Alligator mississippiensis: one gene and its partners. The protein of the gene in region 2 purifies or fractionates together with the protein of the main gene of each other region. This does not show direct contact. Links are inferred from orthologs where the notes say so. Each region holds a gene or a part of one and is shown on either strand. Other genes may lie near its edges. The genes, in order: EIF2B5, EIF2B1 and EIF2B3.

What was found.
Region 1: the proteins of EIF2B1 (region 2) and EIF2B5 purify together in Homo sapiens (affinity purification with mass spectrometry; 7 studies listed by BioGRID and IntAct, counting the BioPlex papers as one, with this or other methods). This does not show direct contact. The link is inferred for Alligator mississippiensis from reciprocal best matches to the Homo sapiens genes EIF2B1 and EIF2B5.
Region 3: the proteins of EIF2B1 (region 2) and EIF2B3 purify together in Homo sapiens (affinity purification with mass spectrometry; 7 studies listed by BioGRID and IntAct, counting the BioPlex papers as one, with this or other methods). This does not show direct contact. The link is inferred for Alligator mississippiensis from reciprocal best matches to the Homo sapiens genes EIF2B1 and EIF2B3.

The regions. Positions count from the first base shown.
Region 1 is NC_081830.1:83,911,039-83,918,452, forward strand, and holds the start of EIF2B5 (translation initiation factor eIF-2B subunit epsilon), read right to left. Parts: upstream 3,060-7,414; 5' UTR 3,036-3,059; coding exon 2,865-3,035; intron 1-2,864. UniProt on the Homo sapiens protein: Acts as a component of the translation initiation factor 2B (eIF2B) complex, which catalyzes the exchange of GDP for GTP on eukaryotic initiation factor 2 (eIF2) gamma subunit.
Region 2 is NC_081833.1:5,958,665-5,965,824, forward strand, and holds the start of EIF2B1 (translation initiation factor eIF-2B subunit alpha), read right to left. Parts: upstream 3,028-7,160; 5' UTR 2,969-3,027; coding exon 2,944-2,968; intron 2,873-2,943; coding exon 2,771-2,872; intron 2,547-2,770; coding exon 2,410-2,546; intron 2,336-2,409; coding exon 2,219-2,335; intron 1,396-2,218; coding exon 1,283-1,395; intron 98-1,282; coding exon 29-97; intron 1-28. Other genes in the region: GTF2H3 (general transcription factor IIH subunit 3), read left to right, coding at 3,122-3,274, 4,127-4,233, 4,841-5,004, 5,348-5,410, 5,741-5,770, 6,560-6,588, 6,678-6,752.
Region 3 is NC_081828.1:2,180,262-2,187,939, forward strand, and holds the start of EIF2B3 (translation initiation factor eIF-2B subunit gamma), read right to left. Parts: upstream 3,041-7,678; 5' UTR 3,020-3,040; coding exon 2,945-3,019; intron 475-2,944; coding exon 318-474; intron 1-317. UniProt on the Homo sapiens protein: Acts as a component of the translation initiation factor 2B (eIF2B) complex, which catalyzes the exchange of GDP for GTP on the eukaryotic initiation factor 2 (eIF2) complex gamma subunit.

The DNA of each region.
Region 1 (7,414 bases), on a different chromosome or scaffold from region 2:
TTTTTTAATATGCTACAGCTTGCATCTGAGAACTAATAAGATCTCAAAGGACTACTCTACCATTGTACGGACTAGTTTGCGGACAACATTATTTCCACGCTTAGTTTTCTATTCTACAGCCACTTCCTCTGCAGCAATTCAGAAGCTGGCACATCAACCTCCACCCCAACCTCCTGGTCTTAGAAAAGAAGCAAGGCAGCATCACACTGTCCACTAGTTCACTGTTAGAGTAACTTTTAAAAATCTCCTCCATTAAACATAAATTGAGCTTCTAATCGAGTTCCCATGCATCTGTGTCACCTCCTTTACGTTCTCTCCTGTGCAACTCCTTTCTGTTTTGGGGTACTTCGTTTTTTCATGTGCTGTCAATAAGGCTTTAACAAAAGCTTACAGATCTTGATTAAGGCCAGAAGGAACTTTTATATCACCCATTCTGATCTTCTATATATTACAGGCCTTTAAATGTCATTCGGTTACTGCTACATTGAACCCAACAACTTGTACCTGTCATAAGAATATAAGTAGTGCTGTACTGGGTCAGATCAACAGTCCATCTAGCCCAGTATCGTGTCCCCGACAGTGGCAGTAGCAGATGCTTGGGATGGGGAGTTTGCAAACTGAGTACCCCTGTGTCATCCGTATTCGGGCCTTAGTTAGTTTCTCATGGAGGTATTCCATTACGGATGCTGCTTGTTGGGATAATTCACCTTTCAATACACAGAGAGCTGTTGCCACCTGTGTGACCAGGGTGGTAGATCAGACTTGGGGACTTTCTCCTGATCTTCAGCCAACTGAAACGCCTTCTCAAGACACGCCCCAACCAGTGGACCTGCAGCATCTCTGACTATGCTAGTCCTGGCTCTGCTAATGGATTTCAATCCTACCCTTCCCCTCTTTACTAATTAAGCAGTGGGGGGTCCCAACACAGCTTCGTTAATACAAAGGTGTCTTTGAGCCTGAAAAGGTTAAGAACTACTAGTTTATCCCAACCATGCAACTGGTCCAATAAACCGTCACCCACAAAAATACTCATGTCTTGAGTATTTCCTGGACCATCACGGCTATATCACTTGAACTCGGTCTCTCACTGCGAGGTCTGCCTTAACATCTTGCCTAAAGTGTGGCGATATGCATGGCTAGACAGGGGATATACGTTCCAGATCCGACGCACAGACCAGTCGCACATTCTGGATCTGGGACGGGCGTCGTGTGCAGCGCAGTCCTGCTCCTGCCACTCACCGGCCGTGCTGCACAGCTCTGAAGCCCCCACCACATGCAACTGTCCTAGAGCAGCACACGGCTGCTTCAAGGCTGTGCTGCACGTGGTGGCCACTCTGTGAAGAGAGCTGTAGTGGGCACTGCATGCAGCAGATGAGGCTATCAAGTGAGCCCTGCATGTTCCCTGTAGATCACTCTGAGACTCACAGACAGCAGCAGGGGCTGGACAACATGGCTCTCTGGGCCAGATCCAGCACATGGGCTGCATCTTTGACGCCCCGATCTACAGTGACCCCTGCCATACCTTCCCTGTCATCCAGCACCCTTAGCTTAGAGATGCCAGGATTTACATCCCTGACTGTTCAGGTAAAAGACTACCGCACACCTCCAGAAGAGTACCCAGTCAGCTGGAAAATTTCAAGGAATGGAGAATCCACCACTTGGCCATTTGTTCCAATGCTCAATCCCTTGTACCAACAGAATATGCATTTTATTTATCATTTAATTTTGTGTCTGGCTTCAGCTTCCAGCCCCTGGCACTGGCTATGCCTTTCTCTGCTAGACTAAAAAAAACTATTAATATCCACGATAGTTTTTTAGGGACATTTTTCATGTTCCAAGCCAAATCAGCCAAACCCATTCCAAATCCGTGTCATTCAAGAGCCACGTGCAGGCCCGGCTACCAGCAAACATCCTCCATCCCCGCCTGGGGCTTCAGACGCTTCCAAATCATTTGGCGGACGTCCTATATGGAGGCCTGAGCCTGGAGGCTTAGGGTTTGGATGCCCCCGAGTTTTGCTTTGCATATGGCTGCAGAAGCAAGTCAGGGGACTCTCTATCGTGGACCATTATACCTGCTGGGCTCAGCACGTGATGAAATGATGTGGGGTCTGGACATGATGATCTTGCGAGGTCCCTTCCAGCCCTAATGTCTATGAAATCTATGAAAGAAACCCTCTGCAGTCAAACTCCTTTTTGGCCACCTGAGGTTTGAAATGCCGAGGCTTCTCCCATACTACCAATAGGCTCTCAAAGAAGAAAAAAGTTTTCCTGGTGGAAAACATCACGGCAGCTTCCCCCTCCAAAACTGCTCCTCCAGGCCGCCGGCTATCGGCCCAGCAGGACCGGGCGGGAGCTGGCAGCAGCCCACTCCCGGCAGGGCTTCTCCCAGAACAAGCCCCGAGCCTGGGTTCGTCGACTAGCCCGACGTCTCTCTCCGTTCAGATGCTGCACGAGCTACACCTTAGGGAGCTCCCACGGCAACCCGCTCTTTGCTTTCCACATGCGACGTCCAGTCCGTCCTCGCCAAGCCGGTCTGGGCGCTCCGGTCCTCGGGAGGCGGGGCTGGCGATCTGCTGGCGTGACAGCGAGCACGGGGAGCTTGACATCCGCGCACAGCCAAGCCGGCGTCTTCTCCCGTCGCACGTGCGGCCGCAGACACGAGCCCCTGGGCGCAGACGAGCATCCCCCAGAGGATCCCCACTAGAAACACCCCCCCAGCTAGGACAAGCCTCTCCCTGTGGCGGATGGGGTCACCGCGCACCCCGGCCCACGGAGGAGGGCAGCGCCGGGGGGGACCCCAGGTGCCGGGGCCCGGTGGTGAGGCTGGGCGGGGGGGGAGGGGTGTCCCGGCCGGCCCCTCTCACCCGCGGCCGGTCCTTGGAGATGGGGAAGAAGCGGCGGTTGAAGCTGTCGGCAACCAGCACGGCCTGGAGCGGGGGCGGCGGCTCCTCTTGCGGCTCCGGCCCCCGCGCCCCACCGCTCCCGCTGCCCCGCTTCCCGGGCCCGCGGGCCGCCATCTCCTCACGCGGCCTCATCCGCCACTTCCGCTTCCGGGCCCGCTCCGGAAGGAGCAACGGCAAGCCGGCGCGGACACACTAGGCGCGCTGAGACGCTCCACGTGGCTGTCGGAGTGTGGCGCCTGCGCAGGAAGGCTGCAGACGGCGTGGAGGGCGCCCGGGCAGGCAGCGCATGCGCAGAGAGCAACTTGCTGTGCCTGCAGTGCAGCGGGCAGAAGCCGGGCTACCCCGCGCATGCGCAGGGGTATTACTCCAGCCCTTGTCCTGTGCTGCAGCTGACCCGTGGCTCCAGGAGCTGTGTGGGGCTCCGCCTTGCGCTACCAGGCTTGCTCTTTAGTGAAAGAAGCTACAAGTGCGGCAGGATGTCAGTGAGAAAATTACGTTCTCTCTTGGGCTGAAGGGGAGTCCCCTGCTCAGCCTAGCAGGTGCACAGGGCCCTGGGCCTTGGCGCTGATGAGTGAAAAATTGTCATTTCCTAGGTCAGATCATAGGTCCCTCTCGCCTGGTCACACAAGGGCAGAGAGCGGATGCTGAAAGGGAGAGTGAACCGGGTCTGACTTCAGACCAACTGAATAGCTGGGGAAAAGTTCTTTGCAAGTGTTCGGGTGCAATCGCCCTTCTTCAGGCCGAGGGAGACTGCTGGGCTGAGATGCCCAAGGAGTGAAAGAAGCTAAAAGTGTGATGGGATGTCAGTACGAGATTGCAAATAGGTGGGAATTACAATCTTAATGACATCCTGTTACACTTTTAGATCACTCCTTGGAGATCTCAGACCAGCAGAGACCCCCCGTGCCTGAAGAAGGGTGTTTGTGCACAAAAGTTTGCAAAGAACTTCTTTCCGACTACTCAGCTGGTCTAACGAGATATCACATCCACCCAAAGAAGCTTGTCTGCCTGCGTCCTTAGACCAACACGGCTACAGCCGAAAACCCTGGGTGTAACGGGGTTTTTTGCCCTGTTGCTCTCACTCGAAGCCTCCCTTCACCAAAGGTAATGGTGATAATAATTGGATGATGGGGGAAAAATACCATCTTCGGGCCCCCTTTCTGTCTGGGTCCCAGTTCGCCCATGCCTGTGTCCGGTCCTGCCCACACGTGGCTGCTGGAATACAGTTGGCATGCAGGGCACATCTGTGCTTTACCAAAGGGATGATTGCAGCAGGTGTTGAAGGCAAGGCAGAATTGCACCTTACTGACTAACTATATCAGAGGTACATCAGTTTTTGTAAGCAGCAGCTGACTTCACCTGGCAGTTGAGCAGGTGTAGTCATACCAGCCCTAGTATTAGCTAGCATGGGGAAGAGTAGCCGTGAAATATTGCGTTGTGCACTTCAGGATCGCTATCTTACTGAGGATCTACTGTAGCCGCTAATGCTTACTGAAGTGCCTGTTGATATGCCTTGCTTATTGCTATCCAAGCTAGGTGGGTGAGAGCGAGCTCAGGTACATCAAAATGTGCTGCTGTCACATCTCTACTGCAGTGTGGACCTAGGTACAGACTTGCCAAGACACAGACACAACTTTGTCCATCCATATACTTGTGCGCACACACATGGACACTCGGACACAGCTTGCCATACGGCACATGCTCCCTGCCCCCCATGGGCTCGTTCATTGAAATGAAAGCTTGATAGCAAGGTACAGAATAGCATGGCATGAACATCCCCTGCCTAGTCCTGCTAATATATTTCTGTATGTACCTGCAGCATCTCCCACTATTCTAGTCCTGGCTGCTTTACTAGTTCAGCTGTGCAGGACCACAGCTGTGCTAACACATCTCCACACTTTAGATGAGATGTTGACAAAGGAGAAGGTTCAGAGAAGCCCTACAAGAATGAGCCAAGGTCTGCAAGGCAGACCTCACAGCAAGAGACTTAAAGGCTGCATCCAGATGAATGCAGGCATTTGGTTGCCCAGGGACAAGGAGCAGCAGCAGGACACCTTGTGCCACTGCTAGCTGTCCCTGGGGAACACTACGTGCCCTCTAGCACACAGCATGGCAGGTTACTTTGGGTGGAGTTGGGGAGGCTGGGGCCAGCAACTATGCCGGCCCCAGCAGCCTTATCTGGGGTCTTGGGGGCTGGGGAAGTTGTAGCCATGTTGCTCTTGCAGCTTGGAGCCTGGCCAGCAGCTGGAGTGTGACTCCGACCAGCCAGGCTCTGGTTTTGGGTGGCACATGTTGTCAATGTGCTAACCTGCTTTTTTTCTGCATGGGCTTTTTTGAGCCTTGGATTTCCAGGGGTCAAACCCCCGCACCCCTGCTCTGCAAAGTAACATCACGGAAAACTCTCAAATGTGTGGTGTGTGTACCACATACCATACGGCTGCACTCATCTGGACATGGCCAAGGAGATCAAGTGATGTCGTAGCCACAATGGTCCTGGAAACACGAGAAGCAAGAGTGTTCGTGGGTGACATGTTTTATTGAACCAACAGCATGGTTGGGATAGACCAGTAGTTCTCAGTCTTTTCAGACTCAAGGCCCCCTCACTGAACTCCAGGCACACCTTGGAAAATGCCAGCTCTAAGTTTTCGATCCTTTTTTTGACCACAGAAAGATACTGGAGCCATTCTTCTGTTGCAAAGGACTCAGAAAGAGCACAACAGATCAGAATGTTTTTACCACTATGGATTCCTAATGAAATCTCTGGGTTTATCTTGTGAATCAAGTTTGCACACCTAACAGTACTAACATTGCGTGGTGCCCTGTGGCACCCTTGATAGGATCTCAAGGCACCCCAGGGTGCCGTGGCACCCTGGTTGAGAATGATTGGGATGAAATTAGATAACTTTTCAAATGTAGTGCATTCTTCTTCAGGAGCTCTACCTACTTTGCTGATCAAAGAGAAGGCTAAGTGTGAATTTGCTCACCATCTATAATTATCATAGTGCAGATAAAGACTATCTGAGGCTAGAAGTTTCTTCTGTTTAGCAAATAAAGACATAGCAGGATTCAATTTCCGCAAGCTGAAGCCAGGCAAATTTAAATTGGAAATAAGGTACAAACACCACAAGTAATTAACAGTGAGCATAATTAATTGCCAGAACAGCTTCCCAACTGACAGAGGGTAGATTCTCTGCCACTTGATGTCTTTAAATCAAGACCAGATGTCTTTCCAACATATGTGCTCTAGTTCACCCACATATTAAAGTGTTCGATGCAGGAATCGCTGGGTGAAATTGTATGGCTTGAGCTATGCAGGAGGTCAGACCTGATCCTTAAGTTCCTTCTGTTCTTGGCATTTATATGAGTATTGATATCTGAGGCATCTCCACAGCTGGACAGGTTTTCTCTTGAACTTTCCCAAGATTTCATACTTTCCATCTACCCTCCTGTCCTGCAGTAGTGTGCTGAGGAGGGGCAACTGGGGCAGCAGCCAGAGGAACTGGCTTTGTTGGAGGGGGACACAAAAATATACTCTACTGTCTCGGCGCTGTGGCAGTGGACACTGCCCCATGCACTGCAGCTTCCTGGAGTACGGAGCTGCCCTGTTATGCTTCTGCTGTCACAGCGGCTTTTTGAAATCAGTGTTCCTCCTTGTAACCCAGAGTTGTTTGCTAGAAACCTGGGATGGTGCAGAGGATGCAAACTGCATTTGTCTGCCCTCTTTACCTGCTAGCTCCTCACAGCAGGAAATCAGAGCTTCACTGGAGACTCCCTGCTGCTTTCAATATGGACAACTAAGAAGTGAGCAAGTGGAAGAGGCAAGACATGGCATTGAGGTAATACGTTCTTCCTGAAAACAGATGCATAGGACATGAAGACCAGAGGTTTTGGGAGAAAGTGTGGCTTGGTTGGATGACAGGAAGATAAGGTGTGCAGGAAAGGGCAAAGGGTAAGCACCTGAAAGACATAGAGAGAGAGGTAACAGCTCTGGTGCACCAGCGCTTTCTTTTTAACTTGTTGCTACTCCTCCAGTTAACTGTTCCCCCAATCCCATCATGGTAGGTGCAAGCAGACTGCTGCAGGACAACAGCTTTTGGAGGGAGTCCATGAAGCCTATTGCTGTGTTGGCAGTGGGGGGTTGGCCAGGACATTCATAGCTCACTGGGCTCCTTCCAAAACACCCAACCATACAAATCAGCCCGGCCAGCAGTTTTCCCAAGGCTGTCACGAGGCAGGAGTGAAGCAGTCAGCACTACTCAGTGTCTGCCCTGCAATGGACTGCCAGGTACAGGCATGATGAGTTGTATACGCATGAGTCAGGCTTAGCAGAAAGCGGAGCGTCAGATGAGCAGTGTGGGGCGAGAATGCTTTCAAGGAGAACCTAGAAACAAGACAGGCCATTTCTCTTTGCTTGGATCAGACCCCCTGCACCTCCCAGAGCTTTCATCTGCTGTTCTTCCAGCATCTGCCTGACATTAGAAGGATCTGAAGGTCAGTGAGCAGCTCTGGAG
Region 2 (7,160 bases):
TATCTATGAAGGTAATGAATAAGCTTACCCTACAGCAGCATCCAGAATCACGGTAACAGGGATGTTCAACTTGCTGAGTGCCTTTGCCATTTTTTGCCTATGAAAATAATGTTTATGAAGTTGAAAAGGCTTTCTTGGAAGACAGTGCTGGTGAAATACAATTAATATAGTTGAAGTACTATATGAAAGACTGAAATCTAACTGTGGGTCTCTACCTTCCCACATCCTCCTTCCTCTGTACATGCAATCATTCTGCTTTAAAGAAGTAAGTTGTGTGATAATACACAACAGGTGAGAACCAAAAAGGGAATTAGTTGACTGTAAGGGAGATAATAAATAGACCATATACAGAGTAAGGTGCAAGATTCCTCACTAATCATTCAGCTTAAACAGCTGTAGGCATCACACATAAGTTGCACACAATTTAAGTCAGGGGTGTCAAACATGCAGCCTACAGCAGGTAGAATTGGTCTGCAATAGGAGCTGGACCTGATGTCATGGGATTTACACAGGGGTCACTCTGGGGCATAAGCTGTATGCAGCACCTGCATCAGAACAACCCTGTGCACTGGCTCTGGGACCAGTCCAGATGGGGCAGCGCTGGAGTCAGTATGCAGGGCTGGCCCTCTGTGCCATGTGGTGTGCCTATGGACCAGGTATAGCCTGTGCACCATGTGCCAGCCCTGCTCTGGGGCTCGTGCTGCTTGTGGTGTGCAGGCTGAACCCAGTGCTGTAAGCACTGCCTGTTGCAGAGGAGGCTGGCACAGAGTATGCACCATATGCATTACTCCACTGGACAGTTCTCCACGCTCGCTGAAGGATGCACAAATGGCCTGGGGCCTGACCCCAACTAGCCCTGGAGCCAGCACTTGGGGCTGGTCTGGTGGGGTGCCACATGCAGCTGAATACTTTATGATGCTGATGGTTACAAGAATCACTGCTTCAGGTTTTTCTGGTTTTTTTTTAACTGACATCTTAAATTGACTGCACCACTGCAAGCAACCACCCAAGCCAGAAATCTGTTTGCATAGCAATGGTTAATTTTTAAAGTTCTGGTAAATTTTCTGCAAACATTAGTGATGTTGGAATTGCTTCTTGCAGTTCTTACTGAAGTGTGTTTATACATTTCCTCTCAAGGAGGACATAATGTTTTGTCAGAGCAGTTGTTGCCTTTTAGCAGCATTTAAAAAAAAGGGGAAAAGCTTCTTCCTGATAAAATGAGAACTGACCTTAAAACTAACTTCTTTTACTAATCAAGAAGAGAGTAGTGACAAGTACTTGCCCTGCTTGATCTGGCTGTGATTCTGTAACGTAAACTCTGAAACGCTTCTTTGACTCTGCAGCTGCTTCTAGCACTCTGAGGACCACTCTTGAATAGGCATGGGTTAATATTCGCTGTCAAAAGGAGAGATGGAGTTTCAGGAAAGCCTGGCTGTTAGGATTTCTTGTGCTACTTTACTATGCACAGGTATTTTAAAGCATTGGTTTCAGTTACAGGTTTCCCTTGCCAACCATGGTTTTAAGTATTCATGCTTAATATTCTATACACCATTTTGGCTACCACAGTATACAGTTCTGAGTCACCATGGTTTTCCGTGGCTGTGCATCAGCCTGCCACCTGCCATTTTTCCCATAAGCCTTTTGTCTTGCCAACCGCGGGAACTTTCAGGAACCTAACCCCAGCGGTTGGCAAGGGAAACCTGTACTTGAGGTGCCTACTGAGATTTTTATAAAAAGTGAGCATTTTACGAGTTAGAAATAGAGCTTAATGGTAGGTTTCCCAGAAGTGTTTTTACAGCGCACGGCACGTCAAGTCATTGCATAAACCTTGACTTTTTTTAACTGATGTCTTATTGCAAGCAACCACCCAAGAAACCCTGGCACTGAGAGGGACCGAGAAGTCACCGCTTCCAATGCTTGAATGAGACGATCTGGTTGTCAGCATCAGGCCAGAAGTTCAACCTCAGTTTGCGCAGAAACAAAGGTGGAGGGAGAGGACAGAGAAAGGGAGTCTTAGGAAACACAGGAAGATCTGAACTTGTGATGCAAACAAAAATACGATGATCAGGAAACTTTATTTCTCCTTACTTGAGAGAGCCCACATCAAATCATGCGATCACCCTGAACACAAGGGAGTAAGATTTGGTCACCCTCCCCTTCTGCCTCCTGCCCAAACAGCGGAGCCCCAGAACCGGTGCAGCGCCCGCGTTGCACTTACAGCACCGTCTTTGATGAACGGGTGGCAGAGCTTCGCGATTTTGTTTCTGGAAAGAGAGATTCTCCTGAGGAAGATCTCCCCTCGCTCGATCATGATCTCTTTGCACTTGGAGTAGTCCTGCAAAAAGCAGCGAGCATGGCGAGTGAGGGTTGGGAATCCCTTCCGCCGCGCCGGCGGCCGCGGGCTCTTACCGTGTACTCCAGCGAGGTGAGGCTGATGAACCGGAGGAAGAGCTCTCCCCCAGAGGAGACGGCCACTGAGGAGTCGACGCCTGAGAGCATTTCGATGGCGTTTTTGAGGTTTGCGCGGAAGCCCTGCATGGTCTCCTCTGAGAGAGGGAGAGAGGTGCGGTTTGGGCATCGCGGCGAGGGCACCGGCTGGCGCCCCGACGGCTCTGCCCCGCGCGCGCAGCCCTCCTCGGGGACATCACAGCTCCCCCCACCCACCCACCCACCCACCGCAGACCGATCCTGCACAACTGCACACGGTTCTCCTGCTCGAGAGCAGCTAGCACCGGCGCGGATACGCCCGGGGCGGGAGGGGGGCAGCCACCTGTGTCTCTCTTGAGGAACTCGAGCAGGGCGCGGATGGCGGCCACGGCCGAGGCCAGGTCCGGGTCATCCCTCGTCTGCGCCTTGAAGGCCTCGATCAGCGCTGCAAGGCAAAGGCGGGGTTCAGCGGCCTCCCGGGTCCCGCTCTCCCCCAGCCCCGCCGCGCCCCGCTACCTGCTCGGTCCATGGCTCCGCGCATCCCCTTGTGACACCAGGAGGGCGCCGGAAGTAGCGGGGGACGGTCATTGCGCGGCGCCGGAAGTGGCGGGCGGTGGGCGTCATCGCGCGGCGCCGGAAGTGGTGGTGGTGGTGGTGGTGGCGGCGGCGGTGGGGGGCGGGCGTGCCGGGCAGGATGAGCTTGGCCGGGGCGTGCCCCGTCCCCCGCGGCGCGGCCGTGCCCGGCCTCACGCCCGTTGCCTTCTCAGAGGACGAGCTGAGCCTGCTCGTGGCGGTCGTGGACGCCAACCCCATCTGGTGGGGGCAGAAGGCGCAGGGAGGCGGCGAGGTGAGAGGCAGCCCCCCGGGGGACGCGGCTGCGCCCTCAGCTCCTGCCCTCGCGTGTGCGGGCCCCAGGGCGCCCGTCGTGGGCTCCCGGCTGCGGAACGCTCCTTGGGTGGGTGGCTCGCTCGCAGCTGCAGTGCGGGGAGGTGGCCCCGGGGTCCGGCACCCCTTACCGGGACATCCCGTCTCAACAGGAATGGCGGTGTGCGCTGAAAGCGGGGCCGACAGCCTCTCCCCGCCTGCGGTCCAGTCGCTTATTCCACCCTTTACCATCCGCCCGTTAGTCGGGTGCTGCGGTTTGCTGCCTTCGGCCCCGGTTGTCAGGAGCGTGGAGCGCTCGAGCGTGTGCTTGGAGTCGCCAAAAGCTGCAGGGGCTCGGCACGGCTGAAGCGAGGCCGTGCTGTTCTTGGGTCGGGCGCCCCGGTCGCGTTAGGGGATGCACGGGTGTTTGAAACTCTGCTCGACTCATCTCTGTTGAACAGAGGAGACTTGAACAGAGATTCAAACACACATTCGTGCATCCCCTTACGCGACCGCGGCTCTCCTCTCCTCCCAGAGTTATTGTGAGCGAATAACTGATCTCTCTCGCTGTTTTTTGAAGATTTTGAGCCCTATCCACGTATGGTTCTAGTGCTACATATTTCTGGAGCGTCACTGATGCTTTCTGTCCTTCAGAGGGAATTTGCTGCCTCCTTTCAGCTTCTCACCTTTGTGAATATCGAACTCTGAGGAAGGCATTACTTTGAGGGAGTGCTTTGTTTAGCGTGTTTTTGTTTCAGATGGTGATGGTGCTAAACCACGTGTTTTCCTCGCTCCTTCACGCATTGCGCCTTGTCTTTTTCTGTTTTCCCAACAGTTTACGTTGTCAAAATGCCTGGATGCAGTGATGGTGATGGGGAATTCGCACTTGTTCATGAATCGCAACAACAGACTTGCTGTGATTGCAAGCCATACACAAGAAAGGTACGGTAACTTTTATGAATAGCATCACTACTGTTATAATTTCCCACCCACGTCTCTTGCCTGAATTTCTTGCTCGGTGTGTTGCAAAGAATAATTGGCATCAGATTTAAATATATAATGTTTAATTTAAATTTAGACCTATTTTAAATAGGCTTAAATACCCTATTAAAATGAGTGAAAACAGACAGGGAAGGGATTTGGGGACTAATACAGAAAAACAAGTGGAAAAACAGTATAGGTTTTTAAGGCTTTGGAGAAGTGGGGATTGCTGCACTAAAGGAACAAAAGGAGGTTGTTTTCCTGTCTGACCTTTCCATTCAAAGCTACTACTACTTTCTGATCTAAGAATAAGAAACGGGAGGTTGATCCCTGCATTCAGGTAGTGTCTGAAGACTAGTTCTCCTCAGAGTGTCTCTCAGAGAGCCTTTCCACCAGGACATCCTTACACTGCGTAGAGCTTTAAAAAGACTCCTTACTCCATGGTGACCATTGCTTAGAATGAAATGTCACCTTTGACTTTCACTTTCTATGAGCGGCTCAATTTGTGGTTGTAACTCAGTTGTTATTAAAGTAACAGGCAAATACTGTGTTGCTGGTTCTCTTTCAGTCGTTTCTTATACCCTGGAAAGCGCTGGGCATTTGCAGATCTCTTTGGAGATGGTGGCAGCTGTGTAGAATCTAATTGCGCTGGCAGCAAGGATGGAAAATACGAATTATTAACTGCAATAAATGAAACAATTGCAGAGGAGATTAAAGACCTCATGACAAAAAGTAAGATGATCTTCTGTTAAAGAATGTAGTGGTTTCTGTAGCATGCTTAGTTTTTAGTGCCATCAGATGAGGGGAAGTATTATTTTGAAATGTTATATGCAAAGGAAATGCTTCAGGAGATTATACTATATGATAGACTCTCCTTTGCTTCTGTCTTCTGAAGCTTATTCTCCCCTTTCATTATGAGAATGTGCTTAAGGCCAATGAGACGCTGAGAAGTTCAGCACTTTTAGAGCCAGCCTTTAATGTTTTGTCCAGGAAAAATTGATCGAATGAACTGTATGGCATTAGATAAGGGAATGACTTTATTCAATAACCAGTTCTGTGCATTTTTATATTACAGCTGACGTGAAGGGCCAACAAACAGAAACTTTATTGGCAGGATCAATTGCCAAAGCACTTTGTTGTATCCTTCCCATAACTTCCCATTTAGAATATCTTTCTCTTTAAAAAAATAAATACATGCGAAAATCTTTCTTGTGCTGGACCCATATTGCTACCAGAAACCTTGCACTCTCTTGGTAGTAGTCTTAACCCCAGTATGTTTTTGTTTTCAGTTCTGACTTCTGAATATCATAGCTTGAGAGCTGAACTTCTGGTAAAGTTGTGCATGTTGGTTAAACTGTTTATTGCAGGTATCATATTTCCTCTCTTTTGTTGTTTTAAACGACTTATACATCTGTTTCTCAAGTGTTCCTAGAATAAAATGTTATTTCCTGAATAAAAGCTAATACAGATATTCACAGGCTGACCAAGGAGGTAAAAGGTACTTTTTTCTGTTGTTTGCATATTTTTCTGAGTGTTAGAATTAAGAGGAGGAAAAAATGCAGAGCTTTTCTTAGCTGGCTATAGTGGAGAAGTAAGGGTTTGTCCCAATCTTTTACAGGTGTACAAATTGAATTTTGACTGCAGATTGGTAGACGAGGAAAGAACATGCAAGAATTGTATGGCTTTAGCAAACATGTTAGAACTTTAAAACCAAGCACAGAAGGTCAGCTCTAAGGAGAGGGAAATCTTTCCACATGTAGAGCAAAACTTTGAATTCGGCAGTTACAAAGTACTACACTACCGTCTACCCTTCAGATTCAAGTTTTATACTCAACAGTTTCAAAAATGAATTTGGATACTGCTGCTTGTATTCTGTGGCTTGATTATGTAAACCAGTCTTAAAGTAAACTCTCTATTTAGCTTTACAGAGAAGTGGTGTAAAGTACCATCAGAACAGCTTTAAAAACCTGTGATCCAGTCTCTGTTTGACCGAGTAAACTGACAGTGAACCACACTGAAATTGTCTTTGTTCTTCATCATCCAGTTGCTTTTTAGGAATGAATGTGACAGTATCCACTTTCACAGCAACTCTGAATTTATTCTGGTGACTTCTGCTAGAGGTTTAGCTTCATCTTCTCATATTTGGTCTTAGTATGACTAAAAACAGTCTCTTGCTTTCATTCAGGTGTTAAACTAAAATGTAGAATTAGGAGGACAGAATACTGGTGGTTAATCGCATACTTATGGGATACTAATGCATGTTTTTTTTTATGTCTCCAATATGTAGCCAACCAAGAAATAAAATCAAGAATTTTGGTAAGAACTTTTGCCTTCAGTTGTCTTAAACGGCTTTAAAATCCAGTAGTCTTGTCTGTGCAATAATGGTTGTTGTTTGCTTTATTCAGGTTATAAAAGCTGCAGAAGACAGTGCATTGCAGTATATGAATTTCATGAATGTGATCTTTGCAGCACAGAAACAGGTGAAGTTACTGTTTTATCAGGTGGTTAACTATTTGGGTATTTTTTTCAATATCAACACACTCAAACATAAAAAGATTGTCACTGTTGCATTATGTGCTTCTAGTTTATGGGATCTTTTGGGAGAGGTGAGCATCTTCACCCTCAGGGAGAAAGTGTTTGAGCTAAATGTAGGTGCATGTCATTGCACTATAACACAAAAAGGCTACCAGGTCTGCCCAAGATTGCTACTGAGGTCCAGACCCCACTTTCCTACATCTTATATATGTGGTACGTTGGATAAGCTTCAGCCATCAGTCCTTGCCTAGCCATTTGGTGGGGAGGAAGGCTGGAACATGCAATACACACTAGAGTTCAAGAGCTTCAATTTGGGTGTAAACTCAGGGCAGTAATTCTACTGGAGGGTTATT
Region 3 (7,678 bases), on a different chromosome or scaffold from region 2:
AACCTAAATGATTAAGTGGAGCAAGGAAGTAAGGAAAGAGGAAATTACTGTTGAAAAGGGGTCAAAGAATGGTCACAACAAGAAGGAAGAGGATTTAGCAAGAGGTTTAATGAGGTGAAAGGAAGGGAAGGAAAATCTAGGCTGAATACCAGGGAAGAACTACTGCAGGTGATATTCGCTGGGTTGCAGACCAGTCTCCCAAGGGAAGGGGCAGTACGTTTTAAAGCAAAGCAGAAAAAGGCACAAGAAATGCTGTATTGTGCAGAGAACTACAGCCGGTCCCAACCTCTACTGTTTAGCAACTGGCAATTCCTCACCTTCAAATCCAACCCGCTCTAACAAATTTAGCGGGTACCAGATCAAAGGCTTGTTGCCTACTGGCAGCAGGGGCTTGGCGATGCTGGAGGTCAGGTCCATCATCCGCGATCCGCCACCGGCCGCCATCACCACTGCCTGAAACTCCATCTTTGCAACCTGAAACGGCAAGCACAGGGCAGTCTTAACCCCAGGGAACATGCTTCCCCCTAGTTCAGTCACCCGCATTACATCACAACGTTTCAGGTCAAAGGGCATCACCTGAATGCAAGCTCGACAAATCCCAGTCACTGTTTCTGTCCCTGCAGATTTCACCAGGGAGCCTCCAGGTGCTCGAATATGTGAAATTAAGGCCAAGAACACTGAGACGCACGATGAAATGGCAGGCAGCTTACTCCACGTACAAATGTGCCAGAAAAGGGCGTAACACTGACTAACAGCCCAATTTCCCACCTGCAAGGCCTCACTGCCATGACACTTGGCTGGTGAGTTAGTGGCTCTCCCCCTTTTCAGACTCCAGCCCCCTCACAAAATGCCAGCTTTTAACTTCCATTTGTTTTTTGACCACAGAAAAATACTAGAGCAATTCTTGCGTGGCGAAGAACGGGGAAGGCCCACAGCAGGGCAGAACAGTTCTTCAACACTCTGGATCCCAACTTGAAACCTCTGGTTCATTGTGCGAATTGCGTGTAAGCCTCTATGCAGCCAACAGTGCTGATGGCAAGGAGCTCCCTGTGGCACCCTTAGCGAGTCATTATGGTGCTCCGAGACCAGTGGCATCCCCCAAGGCTCTGTCCTTGGACTGGTTCTCTTCAACATCTTTACCAACGATGTGGACATTGGTGTCAGAAGTGCACTGGCTAAGTTTGCTGATGACACTAAACTTTGGGGGCATAGAGTCCACAACTGAGGACAGGCTGGTGATCCAGGCTGACTTGCATGAGCTTAGTAAGTGGGTGAATACAAACCTGATGACATTCAATACCGAAAAATGCAAGGTACTCCACCTCAGGGAAAAAAAACCCGCAACATGCTTATAGGCTTGGCAGTGCTACGCTCGCTAGCACCACAGCTGAAAGAGACCTGGGGGTCATGGTTGACCACAAGATGAACATGAGCCACCAATGCGATGTCGCAGCTGGTAAAGCAAACAAAACGCTGGCTTGCATCCAGAGATGCTTCTCAAGTAAATCTCAGGACGTCATCCTCCCGCTGTACTCGGCCTCGGTGAGGCCGCAGCTGGACTACTACGTCCAGTTCTGGGCTCCGCAATTCAAGAAGGATGTGGAGAGGCTTGGGAGAGTGCAGAGGAAAGCCACACGCATGATCAGAGGTCAGGAGAACAGGCCTTATGATGAGAGGCTGCGAGCCATGGGACTCTTCAGCCTGGAAAAATGCAGGCTTGGAGGGATCTGGTGGCTGCTTATAAGTACATAAGGGGTGTGCACCAGGATCTGGGGGAACGTCTGTTCACCAGAGCGCCCCAAGGGATAACAGGGACCAATGGTCACAAACTCCTCCGTGACCGTTTTAGGCCGGACATAAGGAAAAATTTCTTTACTGTCCAAGCCCCCAAAGCCTGGAATAGACTCCCCCCAGAAGTGGTGCAGGCACCTACTCTGCATTCATTCAAGAAACGCTTGGCTGCTTATCTTGCTGGGATCCTTTGAGCCCCGCTGGTTTCCTGCCCCTGGGGCGGGGGCTGGGCTCAATGATCTGCAAGGTCCCTTCCAGCCCCAACGTCTATGAAATCTGTGCATCTCTCAGCACTTGTGCTTTCTGCACGGCCGTCCGCTGCATCTGATGACGTGACCTTGGGTCCATGGAAGCTTGTGCTATGTATACACATACGTGTGTGCGTGTGTGTGCGTGCGCACACATATGCACACATCTAAATGTGTGCGCCTATGTTTGTAAATATATACACGTGTGTGTGCGTGCATGTATGTATATATACATACGTGTGCATATTACACACACGTGAATCTAAATGCACATGAATTTGTGCATATATACACGTGTGCATGCATGTGTATATACATACACACGTGCGCATCTAAATGCACATGCATGTGTGTTTGTGCATGTGTGCATGCATGTGTATATACATACACACGTGCACATTATACACACGTGCGCATCTAAATGCATGTGCATGTGTGTATGTTTGTGCATGTACGTATATACATACACGTGCACATTATACACGTGTGCATCTAACTGCACACACATGTTTGTGCATGTATATGTGTGCATGCATGTGTATATACATACGCACGTGCACATTATACACACAAACGTGTGCAGCTAAATGGCCGTGAATATGTGTTTGTGCATATATACATGTGTACATGTGCGCATGCATGGGTGTGTGTGTGTCTATACACACACACACACACACTCGTGTGCATCTAAATGCGGTTAATTCGTCTGAAGGAAGCGGCGAGCTGTCCGAAGTGACGAATTATCAGGAGTCGGGCGGCCGGGCGGCAGCGCAGCATCACCTCTCGTGACGAATAAACCGGAGCCACGGCCAGGCGCCGCCCCAGCCGCCGAGGACCGGCCCCGCACCCCCGTCCCGCGCGGCCCGGCCCCGCCGCCGCCGCCCCCTCCCTTCCCCTCACCTCACCTCGTCCCGCCGCCGCTGCCGCCTGCGCCCCTCACTGACAGCACCGCAATGGCGGCGCCGACAGTCACTGCGCATGCGCGGGAAGGGCTGCCCGCCGATCCCCGAAGGCATCGATCGCAGGGAGGAGCGCCGAGCCGCAGGAGCCGGGCTGCCAGGGGGGAGAAGAGAGCGCCGAGGCATAGATTCCTGGGGCGGAGCGCCGAGTCATCGATGCTGCCATGGGGCAGAGGCAGGGCTGCAGCTGGGGCAGGCTGCAGGGAAGGGGTGGTTTGCAGGGGTGAGGGTCTGCATTGCAGCAGACCCCAAGCCTCCCCGGCTGCAAAAGGCAGAGATGGGCTTCAGAATAACCTGGCTTGCTTGCAGGGTGCCCACTGTATTTACTGGCATACCACGCGCCACCCCAACAAGACACGCTGCTGTTGTGGGAAGGCAGATTTTTCCTTTGAACCGAACTGTTTGGTCTCAGTTTCCTCAAGTGCTCAAGTATCAATTGCTAATTTTGTGGGGGGGAGGTGCATGTGTAGAAGGTGCAAGTACAGTTGCAGTGTCAGGTGCTTTCCCAAGCTGTTAGCATCATGCTGTGCTCCTGCTTTCAAACTTTTCTCCACCCCTGGGAGGGCTGGCAGCTTCTTGAGATCTGAGACTGCATTTTACGTGGGAGCGGAGAGCTTAGATCATCAAGTGTCTCCATTACGAAGCCAAAGGTTGTGACAGCTGCACACAGGCTTGGTTCGAGCGAATGCATGGCTGCTGTTGCCGCTTTCAATGGAACAGTGACATGCTCGTTGCTTGGTACGGAGGACTTTATTCCCCAAGTAAATACTGTGATTGAGTTTGTCGTAAAACTGAACCAAGTTCTTAACAAGTGTGTTAATGGGACCTCTCTCTTCACTCCCGGCAGTCTTCAGTCCCAGAACTGCAGCATGTTCTGCTTGGCTGTCTCCCTCTCCTCTCCTGTTATCGTCGACTGGCTCATTGCTTTGAGGTGCCTGCTCCGGCCTGGTGGCTGGACCTCTCCTTTGGCAGCCTGGGCATCTCGACATCCAAGATACACATCACAGGCCCCCAGCAGAGGTGTTAAGCAGGAGCCTGGAGAAGCTGCTGCCATTTCTGCAGACCCTGGGGTCACCCTGCCGTTGCCTCCATGCAGCAGCCGGGATGGCTGTCACACACCTGCTATGAGCCTACTCTCTCACAGCATCAGGATAAGCGAAACTAGAAGATTGAAAATCCTTGAGTGGTTTGGCTCGGGCAGGGGGAGGAAGCTCCTTGGCTCTGTTGTCAGCTGGGTTGATACATGCTGAAATGCATCCTCTGGGAAGAGAGCATTTCAGGCAGAGAGCACATCCCCAGTCCTGGTGAGAGCTAAGAAAACATTCTGAATGAGACCCAGTGCAGCCTGAATTCCTGACACTGAAAATGGCCTGATGCAGAAGTAGAGTCTGGCCTAATGTACCCTCATCTAAAAAGAAGGTTGACTCTGAAGCCTAATGGTGGGGTTACCTAGCACTCCTTGCACTGCTGAGTGTTTCAGTAGACATGTCCAGCTGCTGTGGGAGTGCAGGGGGTAGGGGGGCCTGGCACTGAGCAGCTTTGCTTTTCCCTTTTTACTGATCCAATCCCACAGGTGCACCTATGGGGCATGCTTTTCCAGCCTACCCCATAGGGTCACGGGATCTGGGTCCTTATTCTCACCACAGGCATCACTCAGCCCAGCAGGTAGAATCATAAAATCACAGACAATGGGGGTTGGAGGGACCTCGGGAAGTCACATCTCATCCAAGCCCCTGCTCCAAGCAGGACCAGCCCCAACTACACTCTCCCAGCTAAGGCTTTGTTGAGCCAGACATTAAAAACCTCCAAGGATGGAGACTCCTCCACCTCACTGGGTAACCTGTCCCAGTGCTTCACCACCCTCCTTGTGAGAAAGTTTTTCCTAATATCCAACCTCAACTTCCCTTGCTGCAGCTTGAGCCCATTGCTCCTTCTGTTGTCTGCCCCCACTGAGACCAGCCCAGCCCCATCCTCTTTGCAACCCCCCTGCAGTGAGTTGAAGGCTGCTATTCAATCCCCCTCTCTTTTGCAGACTAAATGAGAGCAGTTCCCTCAGCCTCTCCTCACCAGTCCTGTCCCCCAGCCCCCAAACCATGTTCATTGCCCTCCACTGGACTTTCTCCAACTTGTGCATATCCTTTCTGTAGTGGGGGGCCACAGCCGGACACAGGACTCCAGATGTGGCCTCCCCAGTGCTGAATAGAGGGAAGAATCACTGCCCTCCATCTGCTGGCAACACTCCTACCAACACAGCCCAGGATGCTAGTAGCCTTCTTGGCAACAAGGATAATTCAAGGTCTCCTTTGCACTTCATAGCTTGCTCAGTGCAGCCACTTCTGGTGAGACGACACAAACAGCCGGTCCTGCTGGAGAAGCAAGGTGCATTCAGGAAGAGAAACAAAGCACCCGGTCTCCGGACCCAGCTGCAGATCTGGGGAAACTCAGGTCCTGGCAGAGCTGCCAGCATGGGGCACATGGCTCTCTCAGCTCAGGTGAAATCCATTGAGTCCTTCTGTGGAGCCAGCACTGGAGCCTGCCCTTCTTGGGGCAAACCCCCTAGTTTGTAGAACAAGGAACATATCCTTCTGGGGGCATGTGCTGTTCTTCCCCTTCTGCTTGGTGGGATCTGAGAGGGGAAAGGACCTGCTACGGGTCAGCCAAGAAGCGGAGCAGAGAACTGAGCTCTGAGCCTCAGAGTCTGGGGCTGGTTCTGATTGCTGGCCCTGCCTCTCCATTGCTCGGCCGTTATCCCTGCTGTCTCGGTACCAGTCTCTGTGGGAGCCAGCAGCTTCACACGCACTCTTCTTGCGGTGCCCCGATGCACCAGCCTTCTTGCCAGGCTCCTTCCCAGCTCTCTTGCGTTTCCCCTGGCCCAGCAAAGTGGCTCCGTCCCTATCTCTGAGGCTGGGAGCTCCTCGGGGCAGGACCTAAAATTACATCACAAAATTATGTCATGACAAAAGTCGCCAAGGCCGCCTGGCAATGCCCTTGCCCTGATATAACGGCCCTCGGAGGTAATTAAAACTTGCAGTGCAGTGGGGGTTCATAGATGCTCTAGAGACCCCAAGCAGAGGCCATGCCCCCACTGCAGAGGAAGGCAAAACTCCCCAGTGAGCACCAGTCTGAGCAGGAGGGAAATCCCTTCCTGCCCCAGTGCAGTGTTGGTCCGAGCCTGAGTGCAGGGGCAAGACCCTCCAGCCAGGACCCTGCGGGGTCGGTGCCAGCAGGAACACTGGCACAGCCCAGCCCCATCCCCAGCCTGGGCTGCAGCACCCAGCGCCTCTGGGGGAGGCTTAAACCCCCCTGACACATGGAGCAGCAGGAAGAGAAAAATTTCCCTCCCAGCCCCATGCAGCAACCAGCAGAGCCCAGAAGCCTGGGAAACCCCCATGGTCAAACATGGGCATCGCTGTGCCTAATCATCCCTGACCAGTGCCCATCCATCCTTTGCTTGCCCCCTCCGGTGCTGGGAGCCCACAGCCTTTCTGCACTGCCTCCCTGCTCTGCCAGTGACGTTTTCCTGCCACGCACTTGATCTGAGTCCCCGAGAGGCCGAGAAGCGATGCCTGTCACACCGCGCAGGCCTGCCAGCCGTGGCCCCTTTCTCCCCCCACTTCTCCCAATGACGTCTCTCCACACTGGGGACAGGGGATCTATCCTGACTGGGCTCCCATCCCCTCCTCTCAGGCGCTGCAATGTGTCCTGGGCCCTGGATGCACGCCAGCTCAGTGCATCCCGTCCGAGCGTGGGAATTGCCCTGCTGCCGCTGCAGCCAAGCATGGGGGCTGGATCCGCCCGTGGGGACTGACACGGTCCATTGAGCTCTGGGAATGCGGCAGGGGAGGGGAGCTGGGAAAGGGCGAGAGGCACAAACCGGAGTTGGACGACAAAGCGGCCCATCCGCTCCAGGGGGAATGCTCCCACCAGGCAGAGCGGGGTCTACGGCCGCCCCTCGAACCCTCGCCTGGCTCGGAGCTCCCCGGCGCTGGCTGCAGCACAGAACCAAGCAGAGGTCCTGCCTCAAAGCCCAGGCAGGGAGGGGAAAGATGCAAGAAGATGAAGTGACTTGCCTGAGGTCATGAGGGAATGCAGTGGCAGAGCTGGGATTACGGTCCCAGGTGCCCTGAGTGCCCCTCCGTTGCTCACCCCACAGCCTGGCAGCAGGAGCAGACTGTGCTGGAGGGGCAGAGGCAGGGCTGACCGGAGCAGACAGGTGTAGTGCTGCTGTCACATTAATAGAGGCGCAGGACAGGCAACAAGGGGCCGTCCTCCCCAGGGACACAGGTCCACGGATGGTCCAGCACGGAGCCAAAGCAGGAGAGACCACGGTCCTGGATAAACCCCGCGTAGGCAAGCAGCGACTGGGCAGGGGCTGCCTGGCTCCACTTTGACCCAGGACCCAGCCAGCAGCACCGTGACGGGGCTCCAGGCTGGCCCTGTCCTCTGGCTGCCGCTGGGCTGTGGCTGCTCAAAGCTTCAGGGCAGCTACTGCACCCTCCCTGCTGCCAAAGCCCCTGCCATTGAAGGGGAGTCTCCCTTTGCAGTACGGGGCCCATGACACACAGTGGAGCAGTTCTCATCATGACAAGCAGAGGGCAGCAGGTTGCTGCTGGCTCCTAAGGGTGCTGGATAAGTAGCTCATCCCCCAGCCGAGAGCTTAGGATCACGTGGGTCAGGACA